Linked DNA regions of Struthio camelus. The protein of the gene in region 3 binds, or shares a complex with, the protein of the main gene of each other region. Links are inferred from orthologs where the notes say so. Each region holds a gene or a part of one and is shown on either strand. Other genes may lie near its edges. The genes, in order: EIF3I, EIF3M, EIF3J and EIF3D.

Region 1 (7,086 bases), on a different chromosome or scaffold from region 3:
GCATCATTTTCTATAATCCTCCTCACATCCCCACACCAGCAACCACAAGGCACTCTCCTACACACACATGCACATCCCTCCTACTCCCACTACCCAGGACAATGCAGGGATCACAGTAAGACCATTACCACATGAATAAGATCATTCTTACATGATCAAAAATAGGGGAGAGTGCTGCAGAGTTCACTGGTCGCTCTGTCCGGAATGTCTTCAGATGCTCGAGTGTTGTGCAATCAAATAGCTAGGAGGCAAAAGGGAGAGAAAGTTATTCTGCAAAAAGGGCTGGGAGAATCATCAACTGACAAGCAGACCCTGTGTTTTTTGCACAAGCAGCAACAATTGTACAGCAATTAACTCATACAAATCCCAGCCCCCGGCTGCCAGTCTTCACCTGAGCAGATGTTACCTCTCCTGTCTCTAATGCCATTCACGTGCACCTAAAATCCCCAAGATACTTCCACAGAATCCCAAAATACCAGCCTAGGGTAACTCCCACCTCTGTCACCTCCTGGAAGCAGCAAACTGCAATCTCAGTTTTTGCAACATTGTCTCCAACGTCTGTCTGCTAATCTAACACGGCAGGGTGTCCCCTTGCTCGCTGAACTTTCCCACTGAGCTTTGACTTTACGCTTACCCAAATTTCTAAGTGGTAAACCTCTGAGATAGCCATGTCTTTGAGCAGGGTCCTGAAAGGAAGCGTCAAGAGTGCACTGCGTTACCGATAGGAGGCCTCACCTTGGCTGTGTTGTCCTTGGAGGCAGTGATGAACATGGTCATGTCCCTGGAGGTCTGAATATCATTGATTTGCTTAGTGTGCTCCTTGATGTTTGAAAGCTGCTCCCCTGACTGAAGCGTAAACAAGGCAGTTTCAGTGTACTAGCAAGTGAAGCGAGCTGAGAAAGATCCCCTGTACATATGACTTCTCCATTAAAAACAATTGAGGAGCTCTCACTGTCAGCTGCAGGGCTGACATTGCTACGTTAGCCTTGCTCAGGGAAATCATATATTTTAACCACAAGTCTGCTAGTTTGAGCCAAGAGTCCATATTCTGCCCCGTGACCACAACAGGAACACTGCAGTATCCTCCCCCACGCACAGATGCCAAAGGAGACGCTGCTTCTTATCACACTGACCTTGGCACTGAACTGGTTCAGCTCTCCACTCTCGTGTCCTGCAATGATGAATTCCCCTAGAGGGCCCCACACAGCACTTGTGATTTTAGAGTCACTGCAGGGGATTTTCATGTAAGGTTCATTTTTCTCTGCAGGAAGGAAGGAAGGAGACAGACAGAATGGCACCAGCTCCAGCTATCAACACTTCCCCTCAGTACCTCATGCCGGCATTGCCCAGATTCCTCACCAATCTGGCTGGAGTCACGAAGGTCAAAGAAGCTCACAAAACACTGATATCCCATCTGCTTGTCTGTGGAAAACATGATGATGTTTCCGCCAAAGTCGAAGCCACATGTCCTCACAGCTGAGCTGGTCTTCACCAAAGCAAGCTGCTTTCCTAAACACAGGGCAGAAAGGGTCACCTCACCAGGTTCTCATGGCAAGATTAATGAAAATGCTCAGTTTAACTACAAGGTTAGAGCAACTGTGAGAGCATCCGACAGGCTGATGAGCAGGTTCGGTGACCTGCAAGCACTAAGCGTGCACTGACGACTTGGGCGGTGAGGTGAGTAATTTAACTAAATGTTCATTAGAGACCAGGACCATAAGCAAACCCTTTCCTCAAGCAGTCTTGAGCCAGAACTCAGACCTCTTTCAGAGGGTTAAACAGACACCTTACGCTGCCACCATGCACTCCAAGCAAACTTCACAGCAAGGCAGAACTGAGAATCAAAAACAACAGCGTGGGGAGAAGGTCTTACCTGTTTCACAGTCCCAGAGCCGACAGCTGTTGTCTGCAGAGCCAGTGAGCACATGCCGTGTGTCCCCTGCATCATCAGTTAGGGAATATCAACACGTTCCCAGCCCCCAAAAGCTACTGTCTATATACACAGCTAGCGGTTATTCACAAGATAAAAAAGCCTTACTACACAGAGAAATTGCAGACTGAGCAACTTCCATTCCAGGACTGGCAGTACTTCAGTACGGACAGACACCAAGTCCAAGTGCTCCTACTGCAAACCCCAAAACTTTTTACTTGAAGCATTAAAGAAAAAGGCTCCAGTTCCCAGAGTAACATAACCTTTGCACGCTGCTACCTCTGTTATCTGCTGCTGGCATTAGAGACAGAAGATCTTGTGCAACTCGGGCACCCTCTCAGAACTCCCAGGGCCTGGTCAGCAGAAGCAGCGAGCACAGCTGAGAGGAAATCACCGCCAGGACAAGCCGGTTCGAGCAACCAAAGGATACAGTCTGCGTCCACGCACCAGACAGCTCCCGTGTGGCCGTTGTACGTGCCAAGCCTCTCTCCGTTGACCGAATACCAGACGTTGACGATCTGGGAGAAGACGACAGTCAAGCCCTCCCCTCACACACTACCTTGAGGGACTAGCGAGGCCCGCGAAGAGCCGACCCCTTTTTGCTCAATTATCGCGACTTTTTGTCACCGCACACGCGGGCGGGGGAGGGAAGACAGTCCCCCCCGGGGGTGACGGGGAAGCCGCACTCACGGGGTCCTTGGCCACGGTGAAGAGCAGGTCTCCCTCGCGGTTGTACTTGATCTGCGTGATGGAGCGCTCGTGGCCCTGCAGCAGGATCGGCTTCTGCGGGGGAGGGAGAAGGGGGGGGTGGGGGGCGCCATTTAACGCCGCAGGAGAGGCGAGGCCTCGGCTCCGGTCGGGGCTCCTGGGCCGCCCCAGGGCCAGGCCGCCCCCCCCCCGCCCCCCGGGTCAGGAGCCCCAGCCGAGGCCCCGCATTCCCACTCCCACTCCCACTCGCGGCCCCCCGCTCACCATGGCGGCGGCCCTGACAGGATGGCGAGGAGGCGACGCGCCGACCGCTTCCGGGTCACGGAGAGCGCCCCGCCCGCCGCCGGGCGGAAGTGCCTCGCCGGGGCGATGGCGGCGCCGGGTGAGCTTCCGGGGCAGCCGGTTGCTAGGGAGCCGATATGGGGTTGGGAGAGACGGGGACCCGGGCCCGGTGTGGGGCCTTCGGGGCGGGGGGCGGGACAGGGAGACAGGGCGGGGGGCCGGGCTCAATGCGGGGCCTCCCCTGGGGGGGACGTGGCGGGAGGCCGGGCTCAATGCGGGGCCTTCTCTGGGGGGGACGTGGCGGGAGGCCGGGCTCAATGCGGGGCGTTCTCTGGGGGGGGGACATGGCGGGAGGCCGGGCTCAATGCGGGGCCTTCTCCTGGGGGGGACGTGGCGGGAGGCCGGGCTCAATGCGGGGCCTTCTCCTGGGGGGGACGTGGCGGGGGGCCGGGCTCAATGCGGGGCCTTCTCTGGGGGGGGACGTGGCGGGGGGCCGGGCTCAATGCGGGGTCTTCTCCTGGGGGGGACGTGGCGGGAGGCCGGGCTCAATGCGGGGCCTTCTCCTGGGGGGGACGTGGCGGGAGGCCGGGCTCAATGCGGGGCCTTCTCTGGGGGGGACGTGGTGGGGGGCCGGGCTCAATGCGGGGTCTTCTCCTGGGGGGGACGTGGCGGGAGGCCGGGCTCAATGCGGGGCCTTCTCCTGGGGGGGACGTGGCGGGAGGCCGGGCTCAATGCGGGGCCTTCTCCTGGGGGGGACGTGGCGGGGGGCCGGGCTCAATGCGGGGCCTCCCCTGGGGGGGACGTGGCGGGAGGCCGGGCTCAATGCGGGGTCTTCTCCTGGGGGGGACGTGGCGGGAGGCCGGGCTCAATGCGGGGCCTTCTCTGGGGGGGACGTGGCGGGAGGCCGGGCTCAATGCGGGGCCTTCTCTGGGGGGGGACATGGCGGGAGGCTGGGCTCAATGCAGGGCCTTCTCTGGGGGGGGACGTGGCGGGGGGCCGGGCTCAATGCGGGGCCTTCTCCTGGGGGGGACGTGGCGGGGGGCCGGGCTCAATGCGGGGCCTTCTCCTGGGGGCGGACATGGCGGGAGGCTGGGCTCAATGCGGGGCCTTCTCTGGGGGGACGTGGTGGCAGTTTGGGCCCGATGGGAGGCCTTTTCTGAAGGGGACTTGCCAGTGGGCCGGGCCCAGCTGAGCCTCCCCTGAGGGGGGAATGCAGTTGCAGGCCAGACCTGATGTGGGGCTTCCCGGAGCGGGTCGTGGCCCCCGCACGTTCCCAGTGCAGGCCGCCTTGGGGGACGACCGCAAGCCGGGCCTGGTGCTCCCTGGGATCAGCAGGCTGCTAAGGCACGGCTGTGCTGCAGGAGAGGCAGCGGCGCTGGTGCTGGTGGCTGTGCTGTGGGGCAGCACCGGGCCGTTCCTGCGGACGGGTGCTGCAGGGCTGGAGCAGGTCTGGGGCCAGGGCCGCCTGCGGCAGCTCCTCGCCGAAATCCGCTTCCTGGGCCTCAACTACAAGGTGTGAACCCGCTCTGGCTCCTGGGCCAGGGAGGTATCTGGTGTTAAACTGCCTTTTGGGTCATTTCTGTCCACTCACTTCTAGACTTGCTATTTTTATTTGAGCTGTTAAATAGTCCAGCTCTCATCAGAATTATTTATCCTCCATAATATTTCATTTACTTGCCTAGAGCGTTGCTCTCCCCTTGCAAAATTTAGACCACTTTGTAGACAGCAAGTCATTAAGGTTCTTATTTTGCATAAAGTAATCACTGTCTGCCTTTTGCAGGTAGGGAAACCAAGACATTAAACAGCTTGTTGCTGGCAGCGGAATCACTAGTATGCTGGGTTTCCGCTGCTAAAAAAAGTCTCAGAGCAAGGGGGTCTGGGTTCCTTCACTGCCCGCTCCTGGGCTGCTTCCACAGGGTGCACAGTGGTTGTGTGTGCAGCGACTGACAAGCTCATGTTCTCCCTGCAGTACATGGTGCCATTTCTGCTCAATCAGTGTGGATCACTCCTTTTCTATCTCACCTTGGCATCCACAGGTTAGTTCTCATTGCTTTTGTGGAGTGGGTGGATTGGGATTTTGGGAGGAACTTCCCTATTCCTAGGGAATAGGAATGTCCTATTCCCTAATGAATAGGAAAGTCCTATTCATTAGTCTGGTGGCCCAGCTAAACATCAAGCAGCTGCCTTGTAATAGCAGCAAAGTCATTTACATTCTTAGTGTCTGTGATTTGTACAAGACCACTCATTCTTAAACTGTGTTGAAACTGTTGGATTTCAGATCTGTCCCTGGCAGTACCACTCTGTAACTCTCTGGCTTTGATAGCCACACTGGTGACTGGGAAGATTCTGGGAGAGGATATTGGTGGTAAAAGTAAGTTAGACTTGAAATACGTTTTGTCACATTGCTTCCTGCATGTATTTGCTAACTTGATAGTGTAGGCTACTGTGTTTTAGCATGGTCTCTGTGGTGGTTTTGGTGTGGTTACTGTTTATTTCTGTAGGAGCTGTGGCAGGAATGCTGATCACTGTCCTAGGAGTCACTCTCTGCGTAGCTGGTTCATAAACAAGACGCCGTGAGATACATCAGGAAGAAAACCTATTCCAAGGTAATCTCCATGTGTGAAGAGGGGAGCTTCCAGCTCAGCAGCAGACCATTAGGCTCAGTTGCATCTAGGAAGCTGCATTTTTGACACACACATCTAAAAACATGGATTGTATTCCCTTAGCGCCATGGCGGAACAAGGCATTTTTCAAGGACATCCTATGTGATGTCCTGGGTTAAGGAATGTTTTCTGTGAGCATTTCAAGGCAGGGATGACTGAATTGTCTTGTTTAGCACTGGAAGCATAATAAATTGTTTAAAAGTCCTTCAGAGACTCTCCTTTGACAATGACTTTGCCTTAATTATGACCTAGCTGATTTTTTGTAGAAGGAGTCAGTTAGAAAGTCTCCTCTTTCATGCCTATGAAAGTGGCTTCCTTCATTGTATCCAGGTCATGCTGCACAGCCCAGAGGTGTACCATATGGCTCTTCTCCACTGGACTTTGATCCGTAAAATAATAATAGTGCGGTTTGCTGCTACAAGAGGAAGCGTCTTTCTTTTCAGTGAAAAAATCAGTCCAAAATACTAAACAGATCCCTGAAGGAACATCTTCATTACCCTTGTAATTAATCATGAACTCTAGGGAAGGATACAGAAAGTCTTGCACAAAGAGTGTTGAGACAATAGCCATTTATTACTATGACTTTTAAGAACATCTGCCTAATTCAGGAAAACAAATCTACCAAATCTGGGAGCAGATTTGATTGCTGCAAACATTATCCAAGCACTCCAAATTAGAGGGACAATGATGCTATGAAATATTTTTAAAAGAAGTTCCTGACACAACAAATTTTCTGGCAGATATTTTATTATAAAGGAGTAAATGCTATTTGGTAATTCTTCCTCCCCACATTCAGATACAAACCAGTTTCTTAATTGGAGTTCAGAAAACCGGCCGTCTCCTCTGCCAAATCGTCATACTGTAGAGATGAGGAAAGGAGGAGTACTACATTATTTAACAAAATTGTGCATCAGATTCCAGTTCACTGGTAGTTTCCCTCTCAAGCACAGACAATTATGGTGTTCGATCTTAGAAGATAATACATCAGAAACTGTGGCCAGTCTTTGCTGTTACATGTATCTGAGAATCACGTGCTTTTGTTATCTAGATAGCAAGCTACCTAGCTGTCTTTCTCCCATCACAGTCCCTTTGTGAAGTCTTCAGAGTTCCTTGCTGCTAAGGAAAGACATCCTTCAGTGCTTTTCATCCTCAGAGTCGCTGGCATACCTTTGCATTGCCACGGTCTTCTGCAATTTGTCTGTACTCCACACCTTTTTGTGTTAAGAAAGAAATACGGTTATTAGTGTAGCACTTTCTGCTCTTACAGACAGCTGCTGGGACTAAATTTCTGGATTCCATTTCCAGTCTTGCCGTGGCTTTGGCATGCAAACGTAGGTCTTTAGGCATTAAGTAAGCCACCTTTGAATTTAATCTAATGATTCTCTCCCACTGCAGGAGAGAGCTGTGAAACTCAGATAACAACACCTGTACAGCACTGTGATCTCATGGGGGAGGAAAGGCCAAGTTAAGGCAATGGCATTGGAGTGCCGCCCCATGCCCCAA
Region 2 (7,190 bases), on a different chromosome or scaffold from region 3:
TACTTCTATTTTATTTATGGCAAAAAGGAGAGTAAGACAAAGTACGCTGCGTGCAAGAGACAATACTTACAGCTGCAGTCTAAGAGATGGGCGCTCTCCTTCCCGAAATTTTACTAATTTCTCACACAGGCTTTCAATCAGTGCTTCTTGTTTGTCAGGCTCCAGGATAAGAAGCAAAGAAACTACACTGTTCATTACACTCTCAACATCTGCACAAAACAAAATATGCAGCTGTTTAAAATTGCAAGCAACAATCATCATCAGTAACTATTTAATACTAAAGAATCACTTCTGCTATGACTGCTTATTTTGTATTATCAAAACATATATTATACATATATTTATAATGACTGAGCATCACGCAACACAGCAATAAGGTTTTCTATTATTTTATGCTGATTTGCTTACAATAAGTAAAAGAAAAAAATTCATAAACGCTCATTCTTAGACAAACTCCGCATTCTTTCAAACAACGTATGTTATTCTTATGAGCTATTTGTTTTACATGTAAAAGTTTTAAATGGGTCTTTATACTGACACAGAACAGAGGAGGCAGAGAAAGATCAGTTAAGGCTACCACAGTATCATCAGCATCATTAAAATAGATTAATGTAGTTTCTAAGGACGTATGGTCCTAACTCCGAAAGGAGTTAGGACCACCAAAATTCTAACGTTTTCAAACAATATAATCAACTAATGTTTAGGTCCTAAAACGTCTCATTACAGAGGTCTACAGTTTTAATTTTTTATTGCTATCTATCTGATCTGCTGCACCACAGCCATTAATTGGTCATAAGTCTTATTTTATTATATATATATATATATATATTTTTTCCCAGAAAAGAAGCTTGTTTTATATACAACTTGCTATACCCTCATGGAGGGCACAGCCAGTTTTATTTCTGACTTCTTCAAAGGTCACTGGATGTCTGGAGAAAACAAGGGCAGAGTACAGGCATATTTTACATGGCACTACTGGAAATGCATTCTTCCAGTCTTAAAGAGACATGCCTTTTTAACGCACACAAGCCATGAAAAGTACCTCTAAATTCTGTGAACAGTTAGTTATCTGAAAGTATAGATGGGTGGTGATATGTTTAGCACAACTGACACAACTTAAAGGTGCAAACCTTTGTCATCCTCCTTCAGGCACACATCACAAGCTTCAATAATCTGTGCTAAGTCAACATGCAGTCCACCTTCAGAGTTCTCTTCAGAGATTTCAGCTCCTTTAGATTTCAGGTAAGCTCGAAGTTCTGCAGCCTTAAAAAAAAAAAAAAAAAGGCTAGTGAACAGCAAAGTCAAAGAAATTAATTTCTTATGGACTCCTTTCTGCGGTTATTCCTCTTTCCCCTGCTCTCCTCACCCACATTAGCTCCATTTCCCCCTACCACACTGTATCCTACAATGCTCCCTCTTCCCCATTTTAATACACCACCTAAATATCATCTAAGTCTAAGAGGCACCACGTGCTACAGTTAATTGGCCAGTGACTGAACAGATCACATAACTTGGGTTTTTTCACAGTGCATGCGTCACAACTGCTGGACAGAGAATTGCAGCTGTAACAAGTCTTTGTGACAAAGATGTTTCCTTCTTAAGGATTCTTATCTTCAAGACTTCTACTCTCTTTGACAACTTAAGCTGAAATAATAAAACCATGTAGTTGTGTATTCTACAGAAGAGACAAAGGCTATAACTACTTTAGAGAAGGCAGAACTTTCAGTCTTCACACAAGTTACGGTCAGTTTCCAATCTTATGACCTGCTTTATCTTGTTACGATTTAAACCAACAGTAAGAAGATATCTTTTCCACAGTGACAGATCTACACACTAACTTTACAATCCATGGTTTCAGAAGCAGAACCATAACTCTTCAGAGTCAATCTTATCAAGTTTGATTTACGTGATTTGTAAAGCCATACAACTTTTGGCATAAGAAATTCTGATCTAAATGCTACGGTGATACAAGAAAGATGTAATTTGCATCAAGTTCCATGTCAGACCAACACAGTACCATAAGACATAACTAAATGCTCTAGAATCCATCCCTATCCTGAAGATGTTTCAGACTAGCTACCTGAAGAGGATTTGCCAGACACCAGAGCAAGCAAGAACTGGACTGAAGACCAGTGTTTCTGACATGTGTTTCTGCTAGCTTTCACACTACATATGCAAAAGACATAAGGAACAAATACTAAAATTCAAAGACAACAAAGCAATAGCTCCAAGACAAAACTATTTCCCTGACTCTAATTTAAACATCAAGAAACCCAGAGAAACAAGAAACCTAACTAATACTCTAGCCGGTATCTGAACCGGCTTTCTTTTCCCAGAAAGGCCCTGTTGAGGAGGAACGAAGACAAAACATTAGCGAGGTACAGGCAATCTTCAATGACGAAACTGTGAACACGCGTTTGCTTTCACGTTCAGTTTCTTCAACCCGCACCCCCAGATCTCTAGCCCGTGCTGCCAGCGCTTTTGCAAAGAGCCGCGCGGGCTGCGGCGCGAGCACAACCGCCTTCGGCGAAGCCTCGCAGGCAGCGCTGCGCCGCCACCGAGGGCCGCAGGACCGGCCAGCGCACCCGGCCGCAGCCGCCCGCCGCCCACCGCCCGGGGCGCAGCCGCTGCCGCTTCCCCGTGCCGGACGGCGGGCGCCGGGGGCCGCCCCTCGCCCACCGCGCAGACCGGCAGCGGCCGTGGCCCCCGGCCGGGCCAAGGCCCCCGAGGGCGGGGCGGGCAAGAGCTCACCGTCCCGGCCAACGGGCGACACCCCCGGCCCGGCCCGGCCCGGCCCGGCGGTCTGCCACCGCGGGCCGCGCGCCCTCCTCCTCCCCGCCGCGCCCGGGCCGCCGACCTGATCCTCCTCCGTGATGTCGATAAAGGCCGGGACGCTCATGGCTCCGCAGGCTCCCGCGGCCGCCCTAGCACGCCGCCCGCACCGGAAAGGCCGGCCGGCTTCCGGTGCCGCTCTGACGTTCTTCCGCTTCCTGTCTGTGGGGCGGGGCGGGGCGGGGCGGGGCGGGGCGGGGCGGGGCGGGGCGGGGGGAGGAGCACACTGGCGCTCGCGCCCGCCCTCTCCCCTCCCCCCACCCCGCGCCGTTGGGCGGTGGCGGCAGCGACCGTTGGCGCTGAGGCGATGGCGGCGGCAGCAGGGAGCGTTGGCGCTGAGGCGATGGGCGAAGATGAGGGGCTGCTCTGTGTGCCCAGCCCCGAGCTGCGGCCGCCGCCCGGGACCCGGCGGAGGAGCTGACGGTCGAGTCGGTGCCCCTGGTCGGCGCTAGCCGCCTGAGGCGGGCGGGTGCCCTGCCTGCAGCCGCCTGGCCCCAAACCTGCGCCTGCCCCAGGTGTCGTCCGGCTGCCGGAGCGGCTCCCCCGGCCGGGGCAGGCTGCAGCGGGCCCCGTCCTGCCTGCCGGTGCGCCCCTAGGCGAGGCGGGCCGGGTAAAGGGCCCAAGTGCTGGCCGCGCTGCGGCAGATAAGAGTAGCTGGCCATCTTTAGTAAGGTATTCAGACATACATTTGTGCCTGTATGCAATAGGTGCCCAGAATGCCAAGATTAGTACGATGTGGAAAGAAAGAGAATTTTTTTTCTCTCTGAACCTAGATTCTTTACTACTTTTTCGTTAAACGTGTAAGTTCTTGCCTAGCCCTTTTCTTGCTGCAAGACTTTAAATAATGTTGGGAGTGAAATCTGGTAAGAGAAAGGACATGGGCTTCCTAATCAGATGCTTAGTTTGTTCTTAAAATCACCTTAGCTTATAGTCTGATTAAAAGTAAGAGATAACTTGCTGATACCAATATGTTGCATGTTTCTTCAGTTAAAGATTAATAAATTTCCCATTCAGCCACTCTTGTCAGAACAAGAGGGACATGGCTTGACTGTCCTGATATTTCAAAGGTTAAAACAAAGGGCAGAAAGAAAATAGAGGGAAAACGCCAGGGAAACTTTCATTTCCCTGTTGTTTATGATAAGCATTCACTGGATATAGACATTTAGAAAACACTTAGACACATTAATAGCTAATTGGGTTAAATGTCTGTAAAGACTTATTCAATAAGATCTGGAGGGTTTTGAAAGGTGGGTCTGTGGATGGCTTATTGTTGCTACATAATAGTACTGGCTAGAAAGTAATTAAAGAGCTTTTTATTACTCTAGAAATCATTGAGTAATTCAAGATAAATATTTCTCTGGAGAAATATAATCTAGCAACCAGTAATGGAATTCTGAAGTGCCAGGGAAAGGGAGCTGAGATGATTACTCTTTTAATGAGAATTTTGAGGTTGGTACTACAGCGCTATGTTTTGTATTGTTTACATTAGAATGTGTTAAACATCTTCCTGACAGTGTTTTGCAAAGTGTTGTCCCTGATATAAAATAACTAAATGAGATACAGTTTACAGGGACTGGAGATAGTGTTTTGTGCTTCAAGAGTTCAAATATATAATCTGCAGTATGAAAAAAGGTATACTGATTTATTCATCATACCATCGAGTGCCTTCCCAGTGTTACCACTGTTAAGCAAAAGGAGCTGTTGCTTTGCTGTCAGTGAACCACTCATCTAGCCCCCATTTTACAAAGGAAATTTTAGTAATAAATGTGGAAACACAAATAAAATGGGGCCTTAATATCACCATTTGATGTTCTCGGTGATTTGTATTTAGAAACTTTGGAGACTCTTTGAATATTAATGACACCTTTGCATTTTTAGAGAGATTTATAACTCTTGTGCTAATATGTTGTAACGTAATTAGGAAAAACTCTCAATTGATGATGAACTCTAGGGATGTATAGACTGAAGAATGCTACTCCAGAAAGCTGCTACGCTTTTAAAAGAGCAGGTGCTACTTTTGTCATCCTAGAAGTTCCCTATGAGAATTTTTCATTCCCTAGTAAAACGAATCTTGATGGATTCAAACGCCCTGGCTGGGAGGGCAGGTTCAACCCCTCCTGCAAAATGCTAGATGAACTTTATTGTGCCTTGGGATTACTTATTTGAAGGAGTCAAAGTCACGATCCGAAATCTGGAGGAATATTGTGAGCTTGCAGACCAGCATTTGCATCCGTTGGCAAAAAAAGCTGAGAGTTTTACACATTTGGATGATAACTAGCCCACATTATGTGATTCTGTCCATAACCTATTTTTGTTCCAGCCCACAAAATACGTTAGGAAATGCTTCTAATGCAGGTTTTACGTAAGATATGTAGAAGATAATGAAACCATTATAAGTTTCAACTTTTTATTAATAAAATAATCACCTTAGCGTTGTATTCACCATATATTTCAGAGATAAAAGTAGCTTTAAAAAAAGCTTTTTATTCCTTAAGTTACTAAGACTGCTGTCTACAGCCCACCCACTCCCCCTTTTTTTTTCCTTTTTTTCCCTACAAACCTTTACCTCACCAAATAATAACTTGACTTAAGCTTGTTAGAGCAGAGGTAGTGCCTACTTCTAAATTTCTACAACACAATGAACCTGGTAAAGGCCCAAACTGCCTTCATTAAACTTTATGACTCACATAACTTTTCATATACATGCTTGTATTATTTTTGAATAATGGTTCCACTCTTAATGTTTTTATCATCCAAATCCTGGTTAATTAATTTAGTCTAGTTTTGGTGTATTTTTGAAATAGTAACGCCATTGTAACTAATAAGGTACCTTTGCCAAAGTTGTTTTTCAAACAGTATATTTTAATATACAATTTTATATATATATACACACACTATATATACACACACACACTATATATAGTATGTGTGTGTATATGTGTAGATGTATATATACATATATATACACACACATATATAGTTTGATTATAATACCAAATACTTTAAAATGACTATCACTGATCAAAATTTTCAAATTTATAAATGCGTATCTCCTTTGTGTGCCTAATCTGAAATGGGTTCTGATTTTCAGAGGAGAGAGTGCTTAGCACTTCTGAAATGCACATGACTTTCACCTAATACTACTTAATGCAATCCTATGAGGATAAAAGACAACTTGGCATCCAGCACACTGGATAGCAGGAATAGAGATACATCATACATTTGATTTGCCATAGATCTTTAGAAGACAATTCAGGCACTATGTGTTTGCACCTCAAGTATGTGTTTAGTGTCAGTTTGTGTTCCAGGATATCGTGTCCGGTTATAAGCTGCCAATCTCACAGGCCTGGAGCTTTACCATGTATTATTCTAAATATATAAAAATAAAATAAGCATTGGTCACACAGGGTAGACAGGACATGACTTTAAAGAGCTCTGCTGAAATAGCCACATATGGTATGTTGCATGATACTTTATTTGTCCCAAAAGAGTTAAGATGATAGATGGTAGCTGGGATTTGAACTTGTACATCAGGAAGTCCATTCTGAATATAAAAGGGACAGTGAAACTACCATGTAAAGAGGATGTAGTGGAAGAATGTGTGTCAGTTTTATTGGAATGATGACATCCCTGTAGAAACAAGGCAATTGTTTATATCCTGTCTGCAATTAGTGAAGCCAGTTCAGAAACCTTGTGCAGATGGAGTACAAGCTCTGCCAAGAGAGCCAGAGATACCTACAGGAGCTGCCAGGCTTGCAGTGGAGCACAGGGCACCTGCCAGTGCGGCAGGGCCTAGGGCAAGCCAGGGCGCTGAAGTAGGCAGGTCTTCAGGGTGGGGTGGGAACAGCACCCCCGCCCTGCTCCACCTGCATGTCAGGGATGGGGCAGAGAGAGATCGCAAAGGAGGTCACTGATTTCCGAAACAGCTACTTTGTGTATGTATATGTGTATGGGCATATACACACGCACAGAGAGAAAGGTTCAGTGGCAAGCTAATTCTTGGCTGCTGAAGGGAAAAGAGGGATTGTGACTGACACCCACTGTAACCTTTTTTTTTGTTTTTTTGCAGCTTTTGAAAATGAAAGTTGTTGGGGTTGGACTTTAGAAGCTGATCCTCTTTCATTAAAAAAAGTGGACAAAAAGGATCTTCAATATAGAAGAGAAACACAGATTCTGTGACGGCATATTTTTCCTTCTACAGCTTTTTTTTTTTTTTTTTTGCAGTTCTGTATCTGTAGTGATGAGGAGAGGAAAGCTGAGTTGGCCTTCTGAAACACTGGGTAAGAATAAATGCTTTCTGTGGAAACTGGTCAATAACATAATTACAGACATACTCTTTCATCACTAATGCAGTATAT
Region 3 (7,831 bases):
AGGTCGTCTTAATTCCAAAATACATCCACTAACACCACTTAAAACTTTGAAGCATTTCAAAGATACTAATTTATACATACTTAACTAAAATAAGGTTACTGAAAAACATCTTCCATTTCATGCAAATAAACCCTTGATGAAAGCAACTATTACAATTTCATATGCTCCACCACATGTACCTTTAAATGTACAAAGATGCGTGTTCCAGAAAAACAGAGAACATTACTTGAAGATTACAGGTTCTCCACTATTTAGATTCCCAGTCAATATTTCGCGTTCTCCTTCAAAGAGGAAGGACTGTACCATGTCAAAGGCTGTTGCCTATACGATAAGAAGCACGTTTCCTAGTTTTGGCTTTGTTAAGTATAGGATTGCCCAAGAGTAAATAGATGAAAATTCCTTGGCAGCAGGCCTGTCTTCTGGGAAACTTTTGTCACTTACGAAGATGCTAATTTTAATCTCATGAAAGGCAAAGTTTCCTAAACTTAAAACAGTTACTATCTTTATTAAAATACCTCCATAACAAACTATAGAATCTGAATATATTAAAAAAAAAGAAAAAAGAAAAAAAAATCTGAAGTGTGAAATACCAACTTGAAGGCAAACTACTGGCCAGAAAATACTTTGGGCTTGTATTTTAGACCACGTCATTTTTCTTATGCAGGTACTTTCCTGAGGCTGACAGTTACAAACAAGGTATCTACAATCTAAGCAATTATCTCACAGGCTCAGTTGCATGATCTTTAGCATCTATACAGTAAGTGCAACTCAAAGTAAAATAAAACAGCTTTATTTGCTCTAGGGGCCCTTGTCTCTAAATGCAGCTCCAGTACTAAAGCCTTAATCCCTTAATAGTAACTTTCTTACTGGTAGGAATGTTTTGGTAGGAAAACTTTGTTCCTTTATCAGAGTAGCCATACAAAGCTGGCGTCTTTAAAAGAATAACAGCTTATAGTCCAGTTCCATTAAGACATTATATTGTAGATGAAAAGTTTCTCACTTTCAAAGGAATCAGGAAAAGCAAACTTTGCTAAGTCAATTGGAATCAAAAAATAAATAAATACAGACACGTATGTATGTGTGTGTACACAGATATGTAAAAATAAGTATACATGTATAGTCACATTCTAACCACAAGCTTTACAAACTACCGTAGCCACTGTATACAGAGATACCTTTACTCATTTTGCCTGGTGTAATGTGACTGACACCTATAAATGTAATAACACCCCCACACCCTATAGTTAAGGTGAAAAATAGGCAGCCCATAACTTACAAAAATATTTGGGTTTTTTTTGTTGTTGTTGTTAAGACAAGATGAACTACTTTTTTCATACTGATTGAAAAAAAGAATACCCACCCTAAGCTCCAAGGACAACCGTGTTGGCGTTTTTCAGAGGTTCTGGTAACACAAGCAGCAGCCTAAATAACAAAACCAACAAGTCCTCGCCTAATAAGCAGCAATACTCTATTTCAGAAAGCCTCATACTTCTGACCATAATATAGTACTCATCACCTAGTGAGCTACAGGATTGTCTATTGCAGCACCTCAGCACCTTGATTTGAAACAGAGAAGTGTTTTTCAGTTTACCCATTTTGATTCCTAATAGTCAAACACATTCCTTTTATGTCCCCTGGCATCATTTTGCTTACAGTCTATACGAACGCTGAGCAAGTTAAGATTTCTGTGGCATCCACCACTCAGTCAATCTGGCTTGCTAAGGGACAGCTGGAGCTAAATAAAAGACAACAAGCTTTTAAAGAGGGTCTGCTTTCATAAATATTACAGATGAACATTCACACATTTTAATACAAACTCCATGCAGACATTACACTTTGAAACACAGTAAGAAGAGAGCCTTAAGTAAACAAAACATCTTTTAGTGATCTGGACACTACCAAACCTGAAAGAGCATAGTAGACTGCTTTATTTTCCAACTGTGGTGGGGCTTGGGGGGGGGGGGGGGGGTGGGAAGAAGTAGGAAGAGGAGTGAGAGCAGGAAGGGACAGGCTGCTGCAGCCCAGAAGTTTCTGGTCAATAGAAGTAGTACTAAGACAGCGCTGCTTCCATTAAATCCAACTTTTAACGCCTCACCTAGTCTATGCTACTCAAAACCAAGGATCTGAAAGAGCATTTGAGAAGGTCTACAGAAAGCAAGCAGAAACCAGCTGGCTGCAGAAAAGCACCAAGCTGCTGGCAAGCAGCTCAGAAGCAGCAGGTGGATTCCCTAGAAAACTGGAGAGTAAAAGTGTCTTTCTCTTTTGTCACCTGGAAGATCCAATATAAAGCAAGTGAACCTTAAGGAAAAATAACCAGTCTAAGCGAGGATTAAACAAGCACAAAGCAGAAACGCAGTCTTTTCCATGTGGCATCTCGACTCGTCATCTCCGCAGCAGGCGGCAGAGCCCGGGGCCTCAGAAACCCATTTCGTGGCTCTCACCCCCCAACCAACCCCCCCCCCGGCTCCTGAGGAAAACCCGCCTCAAGCCCCGGCAGCGCCGCAGGAGCCGCCGCCGCCCTCGTCCACCGGCCCGGCCCGGCCGGCAGCACGGGGCCCGCCACACGCGGCACCATATGGCAGCGGCGCGGCCGCGGCGGCCCCGGTCTCGGCCCCCGCCCGCCCCAGTGGGCCCAGCCCGGCCCCGGCGGGAACAGGCCCCGGCCCGGGCCCCGGCCGCACCTTCACGTCGTCCTCCTCATCCTCGCCGGCCCAGCGGTCCCCGGCCACCCCCGGCACCAGCCGCTTCGCCACCGGCTCCACCACCTCGAAGCTGTCCGCGTCTGTGGAGGAGAGGAGAGCGGGTGAGCGGCGGGGCAAGGCGGTAGCCAGGGCTCCCGCGGGGCGCCGGGCACGGCCGCCGCCACCACCACCACCACCACCACCTACCCCACGAATCCGTCTCCGCCGCCATCTTGCCCCGCGGAGCAGCGCCCACAGCGAAGCACGGTGAGTCAGCCGCGCCGAGAGCGGCCAGCGCCGCGCGCGGGGCACGCCGGGATGGCGGCGGACTGACAGGGCCCCGCCCCGCCGGCCAGCCCGCGCTCCCGCCTCCCCCACAAGCACCGCCCCCTAGGGGCGGGGCGGGGCGGGGCGGGGCGGGCTGAGGCGAGGCCGCCATGTCGGTGCCGGGCTGAGGCGGGGTGGGGCCGCCATGTCGGTGCCGGGCTGAGGGGGCCGAGGGGGTGCGGGGGCCGCCATGTCGGTGCCGGGCTGAGGGGGCCGAGGGGGTGCGGGGGCCGCCATGTCGGTGCCGGGCTGAGGGGGCCGCGGGGCCGCCATGTCGGTGCCGGGCTGAGGGGGCTGCGAGTGTTTTGTAGCGTTGTCATAAAACACCTGCAGAGCGAAAGGAGCCTGCCCCGTACGGTAGAGATTTGCCAGGAGCAGTGCGCGCCCTTAAACGCTGCCCTCAGGAAGAAGGGGTTTCCCGGTTGCTGTGTTTGAACACGTCCCCACTAGGAAAAGAAGGCTGGGATTGCTGTTCCAGGTGGGAGGCACAGAAAACGTTACTGTCAAACGTACTGCTGTCGTGGTGTATTGCCCTGTAGAGGACAGGGAATAAGCTGTTTAAGAACTTTCCTATGGATATAACCGGGCCCACTTTTGGTGCGTCCTACTCCTTTTAATACCCTGGTAAGGTTAAAATAGTACCGTTTTGTACCTACGGAACCCGTCCGTACGAGGATGATCCTGCGGAGAGCCTGGGACTCGGCGCAGGCCGCCCCGTGCCCGAAAACTATCTTTTTCCCTGGTAAAGATGAGGCTTGTGACTGAGCCTGAGATAATTCCTCACGCCCTCTGCAGATGGCAGAGCTAAAACATAAATATGCTAACGACATAAAAAATACAGCAGAAAACCGTAAGCTTCTAGGAACTAGCCTCATGCACGGTAAGCTTTGCCACCTGACGTTGCAGCGATTACCTCTCGTTTACTACAGCTTTGTAGTAAAAAATATCCTCCGATACTGTCGATAGGCCCCTTTATGAAGGGAAAAAAAATTATGTCCCAATCAGGCATATTTTTATTAGGTTTGTATGGATTGATTCTTAAAAATAAGAAAGAAACACTAGAAATAGAATATATAGGACTGGGCGGGGGGGGGGGAATGCTACAAAAAACCTAATTCAGTTTCAATTCAGTCAGCTTGTGCTGTTGTGGATTATATAGTTTATCTCATGCTCGCAAACTATAGTTCAATAATTTAATTTAAATAGCTGCAGATAATTAATACATTATTCGTAGGCTTTTGATAATAACATTTCCTTCAGCAATGGAATCTCTGTTTTCTGATAGGCTTTCTCAGTACAAAAATTTCCATGACTCAAACGTTATGCCCCTTATCAGACAATAAATGTATATAATGCTGTGATCCCAAGACTAAGAAGAGACCTTTACATGCTATATTTCAGGACACAGTTTTTTGGAGCATCATATATTGTCCGGTATTGACACACCAATACAGAGTATTCTGGTATCAGTACTAGGGAACTTTTTAAGGTTTCTCGGGAAGCAGTCCAACAGAAATTACATAACTTCCTGCACATCTTAGATATTTCTCTTTTAGGATGCCTTGCAATGATTATAAATGAAAGCTCCACTGGATCTGAACAAATATGGCTAATAACTGCATATCTGTTTCCTACCCTTAACGGAGCCAAGAACAGTTATTCACAGGATTTGAATGACTTTCTATTCTTCCTATTCCTAACTCATAAATACAGACAGAACAGGCAGAACAAAAACAACTTAAGTCACAGGCTCTAAGTAGGCAATCCTATTCAGAAATAATTAAGTTTTACTAATGAGAAATGCTCTAGATTCATCTAGCACGGCTTACGTCCACCTGAATACTACTCAGCCCTCAGCTATTTTCAGTTCAGGGAATGAGAGGGAGTTCTTTAAAACAGAATGGGAGAGAAGAAAAGAGAAAATACTTTCAAAAGTTGTTTCAGACTGGTGCCATAAACTATTTCCTAATCCCCTTAATAATAGTATAAATTTATAGTAAAGGTAGGTTATGATTTAGTCAGTTCCCAGCTTTCAGGTTCGTGATCAAACCACAAATAAACATGGGCGTAGGATTGCAGTAAAGCTGTAGAGATAGTCTAGCAACCAGATTATGCTTTCACAATTTATCTGCATAATTCCTTCTCTTTAAGGTGGGGTTTTTAGCTCAGTTCCCAGGGGGGATCGTGGCCTTGCAATCACTATAGTTGTCCTTTACTTAAAAACTTTGAACTCACCAGCTGGCTTTAACCAAATTGAGCAGAGGTCTAAAGGTCCCTTACAGGAATTCAGTGTCTACAAATATAAAATAGGTATCAGATGGAAGACAGACTCAGTGGAAGGAAGGGCTGTAGCCTGAGCTGTCAGTCAACCACAGGACACAAATCCACAGATATCCAAGCTGCCTTACTTCTGCTGTACAGGGGCCTTTAGTTCCGCTGCAGTTAGTCCAGTGAAGTCACGCTGCACACGCAGTTGTAGCCGTGATTTTCCCACACCAAATAGCAAATGAATTCTGCATTTTTTAATTTCTAGAGCCAGCTGTCATTGGAAAGTCATTCTCTTGCTATCCCACTGGCTGGAGGATTCATTTTAAACAGTAGATCCATAGAAGTGAAAACTCTCTCTGCGCTTCTTCCAGTCCCCCCTGGATGCCGCAAAAACTGCTACATCCCACAGATTCCAGGATAAGTATTTTAAGTGCTTGAACTTTCTAGAGAAGTGGGTTTACACCTTCACCTTGCTGCAGATTATAAAGGGACTGTTTGCCTCTTACGGTTTCAAGCTGTCACTCTTCTCCAACTTCTTCTCCAACTTCTTCCCCACTGCTACCAGGGAATATTTTATTTTGAAATGCTCTGAGGCCTGTGTTGTCCCTTTAGATTGTTCTGCACGCAAGACAGAGAGAGCGACTGTCACGGCTCCAGAGCTCTGATTTAGCCAGAGGTAAGCAGACGTCTGTTCAAGACCTGACGTTTGATGCTTCATGTTGTTTGGATGTTCCTGATGGAATAGGTTAGAAGTGGAGAACTGTTTTGTCTGAGGATTAAACATCAAACTCGCTGATATGCCTGGGAGCTACAACCAGATCCAGCCTAGCCTCTACCAGTTACACTGGTCTGTTTCCTTCTACCTTGTCAAATGCATAAATGTTGGAAACATTGATTAACTTCATCCAGTTTACTTCATCACCGCCTCCCAACTCTGTGATGTCATAGGGACATGAGAATCTGATCAGATTTCTCACGGGGAGTTTACTGAACCAATTCTGATGCTTCTTGGAGAAGAGTTTTTACAGCAACAACTTTCTGATGCTGAAGAAGAGGAGACATTGGTGACCCATTCAAAATCTAAGGAAATTAAAGCTCTAAATTTTCAAATTTAGAATGGTGACACTAGCCAACGTTACTATTGCATTGTTCTCTGGGAAACAGTCTGTGACTGTCGTCATGCTGCATATTTTCAGATAGTAGTAATGCGAAGCCACTGATAAAATTCCTGTGATGAGGGATCTTTACTAACTCACGGTCCCTCTTTTTCTCCATAGCTTCAAAGGGTCACCAGCAATTCAGGCATATATTTGGGTGTCTTTCCTTATCTCCAGCCCACTGGTTGATAAGAGGATATACATGGTGCACGCTTTTTAGTTGCTAATAAAGACCAACTTTTGGTTTCAGAATGAGCGTTCTAAAAGTAGATCCTGCTGCCATTATAGGCCATAGCATACATCTGAGCAACTCTTGGCACTAGCAGTGACATTGCTTCTGACATTGTTTTAACTTGATTTTATAATTGAGCTCCAGGCCAACCATTAATGTAAATCAGTACTTGTCTCTCTCAAGCTGCACGAACTCTTGCATTTTATGACATGCCATGCCAAGCACCTCCTTCATTATTTCCTGTGTGAGCTATACTCACAAACAGCGTACCCTTCTGCTAGGTACTTTTTTCAGTTAAGCCAAACCACCTGTTTCAGGGGGTGATCTGCTTTCTGTTTTAGTTTTCAGATGCCGAAGATCTGCAAGGAAACGCATCTTTTCTTCTCTGACCCTTTTTCTCGCAACTGACTTTAGAAGCGTATTTCCAAAAGTCAGCAGTTCCACTTCAAGATGCTAGAGCTCAAAGGCTGTTAGAAGATGTTCCAATCTCATATATGATGTCTGCATGTCCAAGTAATGATGGATCATACTGAACTGCCATACTACCATGTCCTCTATCATCAGGAAGGGGGTGTAAAATTCTTCCTCCTCTATCAGGAAGCAATTCCATACTGGGACTGACACATAGAAAACAGTACTCATCTCTCAGCAGTTCACCAATGCAGACCTTGAATTTATTATCAGATGAGCTGTGCAGGTTCTTGTCTCCAAATCCTGAGTGGGAGATCTGCATTGGTATCCTCAAAGTAGTCTGTGAACGGGAGCCACTCAAGTAGATTTGCGTTGTCCACATCAGGAATAAACGTCACTTCTTGTCTCAAATATTTTAGCGCCTGAGGTCTTTCTCTTAGGTTCATTGCGGTCGCATGGTCAGACCGTCGGGTGTGCGCCTCTCTTCCAGTCCCATTGCTTCCACAAATCTTGATTGAAATAAGACAAAAAAGCACCAAAATTATTCTGATTGTTTCAGCCTCGTCTAAGCAGTTTCCTGAAACCTCTACCATTGTTCCCAAACCTACTGATGCAAATGTCGTATCACTCGATTCAACCCAGCCTCAAAACGTTCCATCTCAAAAGTGTGCATGCTAGAGGATCTCTGTTCAAAGTACTCCTGCTCTTTTCCAGTAACGTAAGTCTTTATAAATAGCTCTCCAAGTACGTCAATT
Region 4 (7,061 bases), on a different chromosome or scaffold from region 3:
GGGCATGGGCCACGAGGCCCTTGCCCTGCTACTTTCCAAAACCCAGTCAGTTCAGGAAGCGAGCACTCAGCTGTTTTAGAAACTCACATGTCCTGCGGCTCTGACACCTCCAGATAGCGCATCTTCATCAGTCGAGGGAAGTCCATCTCTTCTTTCACCTCCCAGTCACTGCGAACTTCAACAGAGGAGTCACGAGGCTTCTGCTGTGCGGCCAGACAGTAGACAGATAAAGAGAGAGAGAGAGACACAACACATCAGGATTTGTGAGAGAGAAATTGCCTCATGAGAGCAGAGAAAGAACTAGACAATCACAGGGGTCAGAAAGCTAGTTTACCTGTGATTTTTGGTCCCATTTCTGCCTCACTCCAAACTGTTTCTGAAACTTCTTCTGTAGACGCAAACGATCTCTACAACGGCAAACATGTGAAAAGCCATCACGACAAGTTCTTGATTCCTAGATGCCACAACCACTCCTACACTTCCAATTTAGCACCAAAGGAACAATACCTTTCGGCACCAAGCCACTGAAACATTCACTGAGCTGTCTGTTGATCAAGATGTGTGAAGCGTTACAAGCTCTGCTCTTTATTCCGAGCTGCTGTTTAAATATTTTCACCTTTGAAGACTACAACGCAGCTTCCAAAAGGAGTATACTTCATTTTAAATTACCACGGTTATTTTCTGAACTGGATTTAGAAATTCTCCTAAATTCTTAAGTAGCTGTTTGAAACCCATGCTTATAACTACAAGTGACTTGGGCAAAACAATGGACTTGAAAAAAATCCTCAAGTTGTTCTTTGGTGACTGTTAGCTCTGGTGGTTTCTGCTACAGTATCTTACCCAATTTATCAATACTTTGTTGACACAATTCATACAAATACAGTATACCCGTATGAGGGTCTCACCTCTCCTTCTGCTTGGCACTCTTTGGCAGTGTCTGCATACTGAACTGCAGCATGTTCCGACGGTCCTTGTCTCTCCGAAGGTTCCTCTGTGAAAAGGGGCGGGGGGGAGAAAGACATTTTAGTTATAAAATAATTTGCTACCACTCAAGCTCTCAGAGTTTTGGAAAACAGGTGTTACCTGTGCAAATCGCATACGATTCCTTTGGTACGCGGTTTTCTGCGTCCGTGCTGTATCCACCAACTGGAAGCTAGTCTCATCCTCCTCATGAAAATATGCATATTGACTTCCTCCGCCAAACTGTGAAGAGTACTTGTCTGAAAATAAAACAAAGCATCTTGCTATCAAGCTTCTAGGAAAAGAAGACTGGCGAAGTAGGAGGGGGGAACAATCCCCTCCAAACGCCTTCCCTCAAGCCTGATGCATTAGCTGGGACTGTCTACCTTATACCACTGCAGTTTGCTCTGCCTCTAAACCTCCAAGAAAAGCACCAGTCACGAGGTAGAACAAAACCACAAGCAAACCGTAAGGACGGGGAGAGCCCCATGGAGCTCTCCCAAGGGTGAGGCACACTTCTGAATATAAGCAGCTCTTGCTGAGGAACGTAGGCAACCACTAGAGCCGGTATGAAACATGAAAGCAGGAATGACATTTGAAGTAAGCTTGTATGAAACAAATGACAGGAGCAGTCACCAAACAGCACGTACTCGTATATCTCTTATCCTGATAAGTGGCTCCTGTCCAGTCTGCAACCTAAGGACAAACAAACAGTCAAAATAAGCAAGTAGCAACTCTGACTTTACATATGCAGGACTTCAAGCAGCAAAAGCAAATATGGCTCTATGCTCCAGAATCACTCCTTTCAGTTCCCACCTCTGCTTGCCAATCTTGCTAATAGTTCACAACTATGCTAATTAGGATGGACTACAAAGGATGTTTCAAAAACAGTCATAGTAATTAGTAAAGAAGCTCTGAAAATAAAGCACCACTACTATGCACAGGTGATATGTAAGAAGGAACATAGGGCTCATTCAGCAGGTTAACACAAAGGCTGCCACCTTCCCTAGCTCCACATTAGGACATGATTTTAATACCTTTCCCAAGCGGTCTCCTTTACTGAAGGGCTGATATGGCATATCCCTGAACTGCTCAGGCACAGCACAAGGGCCCCAGCCCGAGGGGTTGTCCTGGATCACTGGTGTCACAAACTTGGCCATTTTTTAAACCTTTAGGAGAGGAAAAAAAAGTAAAAATAAAAAAAGGGGGGGGGGGGGAAAGCAACCAGAAAAGCTCAGTTGCCAAGTGGCAAACCCTGCCAAAGCACCGCGACACCCGCTGCTGCGGGACAGGGCGGCCAGGGCTGCGCTACGGACACGGCGGACACCGCGGCCCAGGCCTCGGTGCCTCAAGAGAAGGACGGGCCTATTTGACCTCCCGGCCCCGCGCGGGGCCGCAAGCGAGGCGACGCTCCTGGGGGCAGGGCGGGGGATGGGGAAACTCGGCCCCACCGGAACCGGGGGCAGAGGCGGGGCCGCGGGTGGAGGGGGAGCCCCGATACCCGCGGGCCCAGCCCCAGTGCGGCAGCGGGCGGGCCCCGGCCGCGCCACCGGCGGCTCCTCACCTGCGCGGCCCCGATGGCGGCGGATACGACGACAGCGGCGGCGGCGGCGAGGAAAGGGCCCCGCACGGCTCCGGCCCGGCCTTAGCGCGTCATCGCCGCGCGCCGCCGTCGTAAAATAAATAAATAAATAAAGCCGCCAAGGAGCTCCGCTCTTCCCGCCCCGGGGCTGCCGTAAAGCACGGGCACCTCTGCCCCACCTCCCGCTCAGATGTCGTCTGGATGACGCCGAAACCATAGAGCTGCCGGACGGCCTGGCTAGAAAAGCTGCAGCGCGCCCGCGGGCGCCTCCATGACGTTCCGCGCTCCCTCCAATATCCCAGTGTGCCTTGAGGCCGCGGCGGTGCCGGTTGCCGCGGCAGCGGCGGTTGCGGTGGCTGCCGGAGTTTTCTTCCTCTTCTTGCTGCCTATGACGCAGGATTTAGTTGGCGGAGTGCCTCAGAGCCCTCTGTCAGCAGCCCCGCGAGCTGCCCTGGGGGTGCCGGCTCTGCTGGGATGAATGGGGGGGCGCGGAGGGGAGGGGGGGGTCCCAGATAACGTCAAACCGCGTCACCCGTGGCTTGCGTGGGGGCTGAGTTAGCCTGTTCCCTGTTCTGATGGTGCCTCTTGTCACAACGGTAGCGATTACTGAAGTCCCGCACCCTCCTAATTACCTGCCCAACAGTACGTGGGGTTAACGGGGAAAAAAAATGGTATTCGCGATAATAAACTTGCCTTATCCGCAGAAGAGCTTGTGTTCAGCTTTAAGTGGAAAAGGCCGAGATGAGGCAAGACAAAGCCTTTCGGGTTGTACTTGGCTGTCACAAAGAGGAAGAAAACAGATTGTTTTCCCTGCCTCCTGAAAGCAGAGGAGAAACATGAGTTCAAACTGAAACAATGGAGATCTGAGTGAGATGTTAGAAAAATCTTTTCTCGCTGTAAAGTTGATTAAACTTCTAGAAACGTTGTTGAACGTGAATAGGGGTATTTAAGCCTTTGTTAAGCCAACATCTGTTGGGAATGATTTTGATATAACGGCTCTGCCTGGCCGCAGTGGGATGGCCCAGGTTGTTTCACAGAGTTCCTTGGTTTTTTTATCTGTTGCTCTCATAGGGATACTTGGACTTCATGATCAGAGGTGACTGTTGCATATCAAGAAGACTTCTTTTCTTTGACGGAGGTTGAGCACAAATTACTCTGCCTAAAATTATGTACAGGAAAGGATACTGATCCTCAACTTAGTAACTGACAAACATTTCTACTGCTATGCTTCAGTGCCCTCCTGTCCAGTTGTGCCAGGTTGTTCTGCAGACATGAAAAAGACTTACTGTAAAGTCTGACAGGTAAATTCCTATTTTCACAGATAGATTTGTGTCTGTGATAAAGAACAGACTTACAGGGCTCCTGACAAGAAGTATATCAATAAGGCAGTGTATCAGGATAGGAAGCACGATCTAATTCTGTGCCTCTTAATTTTGTCAGACAAAGCATTTTTTGTTAGCCTCTTGAAATAAAAATGTATTGCAAACTTTGCAATGTTTTTGTAGAGAAGTAGGTAGTATTGACTGCAGTTGTATGGTCATACAACTGACTTTGGGTTTTAGAGTATTTTTACGAAATACTTTACTTTGAGGGGTAAGGATGTGTGAAAAGTGCTAATTGCAGTTGTCCCTGTTGCCTTCACAATATGATATTAGATGTTTTGCATTGCCTCTGATGGCTTTCCTTGACCTGCTAGAGAGGAAATGTAGGGCTACAACTTCGCATTCAACTCCATAGCCTCTTCAGGAGACCCTGAATAAGTCGTTTAATATAACACATGCCTCAGATCCCTGTCTATAACTGGGATCTATTTCCCCTCTCAGATGGTGAGAGCAAAAACTCATTGGTAAATCTTGGATACTCAAATCACTGAAATTTTCTCTACCACTAAAAGACCAGGATCCAGCTTACAGGTATCTTCAGCTCATAGGCTGGAGAATTTTCCTGGGTATCCTTAACCCAAGAAAAGTCTAGATCAATACTCTTCAGAAGGGTGTGCATTTTCTCCATTATTTACAAATTCACCACCTTTAGTTACTTCCTGAGAAAGCACAGAAGCTGCAGCAGTCTCTACTTTGCCAGGATACCTCCCCATTAATCAGGAGTAGGATTATTAGAGCAATTTTCCTAGCTAGTGAAAAATCCGCTTATAGAAATATAGTTTATAAAATACAATTTGTAACTGTCCCACCTAAATGGCCCTCCTGGGCACAAATGTAATGAGTGTTGGAATTGCCTCACTGCTCTCCAGTGGTGGCGCAGTGGATTCTAGCTCCAGAATGTGACTCCTGCAGTGCCCCACCAACTCCCATTCCCTTCCCTCCCCAACTCGGGTGGCGGGCTGAGTAGGCTCAGAGGGCTCTGGCTGTGGGAGGTGGCCTTACGCACCTTTGGGACTGCTCTGGCTATATTCCAGTCTATAACTAACTTCCTCATTATCTATCTATGTGGAACAGATAAATACACTTTATCCAGCTTGATACATTAGATTCAATCTGAACATTGTTGTGTTCATGTCCTGCTTGGGAGACAGCGATAAAAGGAACAGGAAATCCCAAAGAGAAAGCTGGATTAGGGAATGAATAAAGAGAAGCAATGTCAAATGGACTGATAATTTAAATCCCTTCCTCTTCCTTTCCTCAGCTTCCCTTTCGCTCCCAACTCGGTGTGAGGTTCTTAAAAGAGACTGTAATGCTGCTTTCGTCTTCCAAGCTGACAGGTTATTTGCAGTTTGGGCCTAGCCCAGCAAAATACCTTCTCTGGGGACAGAGTTGGGTACGAGGCATGGTTCAGAGGACAGAGCATGCGTAGGGAGTGTCCTGTCCAGAATAAATACTCCTTTATGTTCCAGTGTAAAGTACCAGTTTCTTATCCAGGGGAAAATATTTCAGTTCTAAGAACTTATTGCAGACTTGAAGAGGGTGATGTTCTCTGCCAGATTTAGGTCAGATTTACGAGGGGGGAGTGAGTAAGTTTTACCTCACTTTTTATTTAGCACCATACACTGCCGCCTCTGATCTCCTGTCCAATGCTGTGGTCGAGGCTCCAGTGTTGCATGTACCCCTCTGTTCCTGTCTTGCCAACCCCAAGCACCATTTCTGCCAATAATTTGCTATCTAGCTGAGGGCTTTTATGACAGGCACATGAGTTTTCCAGTGAAGCCCTGAGTTGCTCAGAATACGCTTTCTTGCAATCATTTGATCATTAATCTACAATTCTAGTTAATCAATTAATTACAGTTAATCAGGCTAATCAGTTTTCCCTGGAAGATGCTCATGAGAACAGCCAGGATAAATTGCTCCCATCTGGTTTTGCAGCCTTGTCTCCTATTTCTCTATTTTGGGGATCTGCAACTGGTGTTAGCAAATCCATAAAAGCGGGCTTTGTCCTAGCATCATGGCTGTTCCAGTCCAAAGGCTTCACAGCCATAATCTAGTGCTTTCCCTCCATCTCCTGCAGCAATTCAGGGCTCGTTCAAAAGCTGTTGTTCTGTGAGCTGGCTGTGTGCTGAACAGCAGACTCATCCTGCTGAGCAAGAAGAACGTGCAGCTCAGGCAGTATCATAAGAAATTTGCCAGGTTTAAATGAAGGAAAGCAACTCAAAGCTCCCAACCTATTAGGGTTCTTTTCTAGAAAAAAAGCTACCCTCTTCCCTACCTGGAGACACCTTGGAAAGCCTTAGGATAGGGGTTACTTTCCAACTTGTGTGACTGTGATTCCCATTTGCTGCGCAGGACTTCTGCTCAAAGAGGGGACTTGAAGACTAAGGTTCATATTGAAACACTAATTTCCAGTAGTTCCTTTTGTAATTCTTACAACAAATGCATCAAAGATAGCCAATTGTTTCTTTTTTTAAACTAGACAACAAGCACACTGTATGCCTGTACCATATGTTTAGTTCCCAGTGCCCTGTACTTCTTGACAAACCCAGAAACCAGAGAAAATAATCTTCAGCCTTAGCACCTTCCCCGAGATGAGAAGACTAATGTTTACAAACCTCTTCAGACTGTTCTTCCAAAGTCATCTTGTTTAAAGTGGCAAGACTTAATGCTGGCTCCTGCGTTCTCATTGCAAACAACCTTCACTGCATCTAAAGTGGCTCCTGTCACAGGCCAGCAACTATCTGGCTGCTCAGCTGCCCAGAAGGATCACTGTCCTCCAGAAAAAGCTGTGTTTCAATTGCTCTCTCCCTCTGTTCACAGGCTGAGAAGCCCTCCTACCTCCCTGGTGTGCATTCCTCTGTGCAACTCATCTTTCCAGTTGCGCTTTTAACTGCCTTCTCAATCTGCTGTTCTCTCAGGCCAAATGCCTTCACTGCTGAGTGTGGCCTCCTTTTGCTCCTTCTTCACCCCTCTCCTAAGCTGCCTGGATGCTGAACTCTAAGCCTGCCTTCCTTGAGTGACAGTTGCTCGCCAGCTTTTTCAGAGTTGTGGTTGATAGAATTTTTAGAAATCCTGGAAGAACAGCCCGTAGAACAACTTTCCTGTGTGTGTGCTGTGAATCTGACTTTGAATTTGCT

Evidence for each region.
Region 1: EIF3J (region 3) and EIF3I share a complex: the UniProt entries of both Homo sapiens proteins name them as parts of the eukaryotic translation initiation factor 3 (eIF-3) complex. The link is inferred for Struthio camelus from reciprocal best matches to the Homo sapiens genes EIF3J and EIF3I.
Region 2: EIF3J (region 3) and EIF3M share a complex: the UniProt entries of both Homo sapiens proteins name them as parts of the eukaryotic translation initiation factor 3 (eIF-3) complex. The link is inferred for Struthio camelus from reciprocal best matches to the Homo sapiens genes EIF3J and EIF3M.
Region 4: EIF3J (region 3) and EIF3D share a complex: the UniProt entries of both Homo sapiens proteins name them as parts of the eukaryotic translation initiation factor 3 (eIF-3) complex. The link is inferred for Struthio camelus from reciprocal best matches to the Homo sapiens genes EIF3J and EIF3D.

The regions. Positions count from the first base shown.
Region 1 is NC_090964.1:8,572,823-8,579,908, reverse strand, and holds the start of EIF3I (eukaryotic translation initiation factor 3 subunit I), read right to left. Parts: upstream 2,924-7,086; 5' UTR 2,906-2,923; coding exon 2,903-2,905; intron 2,714-2,902; coding exon 2,621-2,713; intron 2,449-2,620; coding exon 2,361-2,448; intron 1,940-2,360; coding exon 1,874-1,939; intron 1,510-1,873; coding exon 1,360-1,509; intron 1,262-1,359; coding exon 1,134-1,261; intron 847-1,133; coding exon 736-846; intron 242-735; coding exon 152-241; intron 1-151. Other genes in the region: TMEM234 (transmembrane protein 234), read left to right, coding at 4,131-4,433, 4,890-4,956, 5,199-5,291, 5,422-5,483; DCDC2B (doublecortin domain-containing protein 2B), read right to left, coding at 6,717-6,794. UniProt on the Homo sapiens protein: Component of the eukaryotic translation initiation factor 3 (eIF-3) complex, which is required for several steps in the initiation of protein synthesis.
Region 2 is NC_090946.1:27,112,776-27,119,965, forward strand, and holds the start of EIF3M (eukaryotic translation initiation factor 3 subunit M), read right to left. Parts: upstream 3,013-7,190; 5' UTR 2,900-3,012; coding exon 2,858-2,899; intron 1,264-2,857; coding exon 1,131-1,263; intron 210-1,130; coding exon 71-209; intron 1-70. UniProt on the Homo sapiens protein: Component of the eukaryotic translation initiation factor 3 (eIF-3) complex, which is required for several steps in the initiation of protein synthesis.
Region 3 is NC_090953.1:1,192,647-1,200,477, reverse strand, and holds the start of EIF3J (eukaryotic translation initiation factor 3 subunit J), read right to left. Parts: upstream 3,006-7,831; 5' UTR 2,914-3,005; coding exon 2,889-2,913; intron 2,783-2,888; coding exon 2,682-2,782; intron 1-2,681. UniProt on the Homo sapiens protein: Component of the eukaryotic translation initiation factor 3 (eIF-3) complex, which is required for several steps in the initiation of protein synthesis.
Region 4 is NC_090942.1:59,344,215-59,351,275, reverse strand, and holds the start of EIF3D (eukaryotic translation initiation factor 3 subunit D), read right to left. Parts: upstream 3,011-7,061; 5' UTR 2,525-3,010; intron 2,130-2,524; 5' UTR 2,121-2,129; coding exon 1,998-2,120; intron 1,657-1,997; coding exon 1,611-1,656; intron 1,221-1,610; coding exon 1,084-1,220; intron 992-1,083; coding exon 906-991; intron 408-905; coding exon 335-407; intron 204-334; coding exon 88-203; intron 1-87. UniProt on the Homo sapiens protein: mRNA cap-binding component of the eukaryotic translation initiation factor 3 (eIF-3) complex, a complex required for several steps in the initiation of protein synthesis of a specialized repertoire of mRNAs.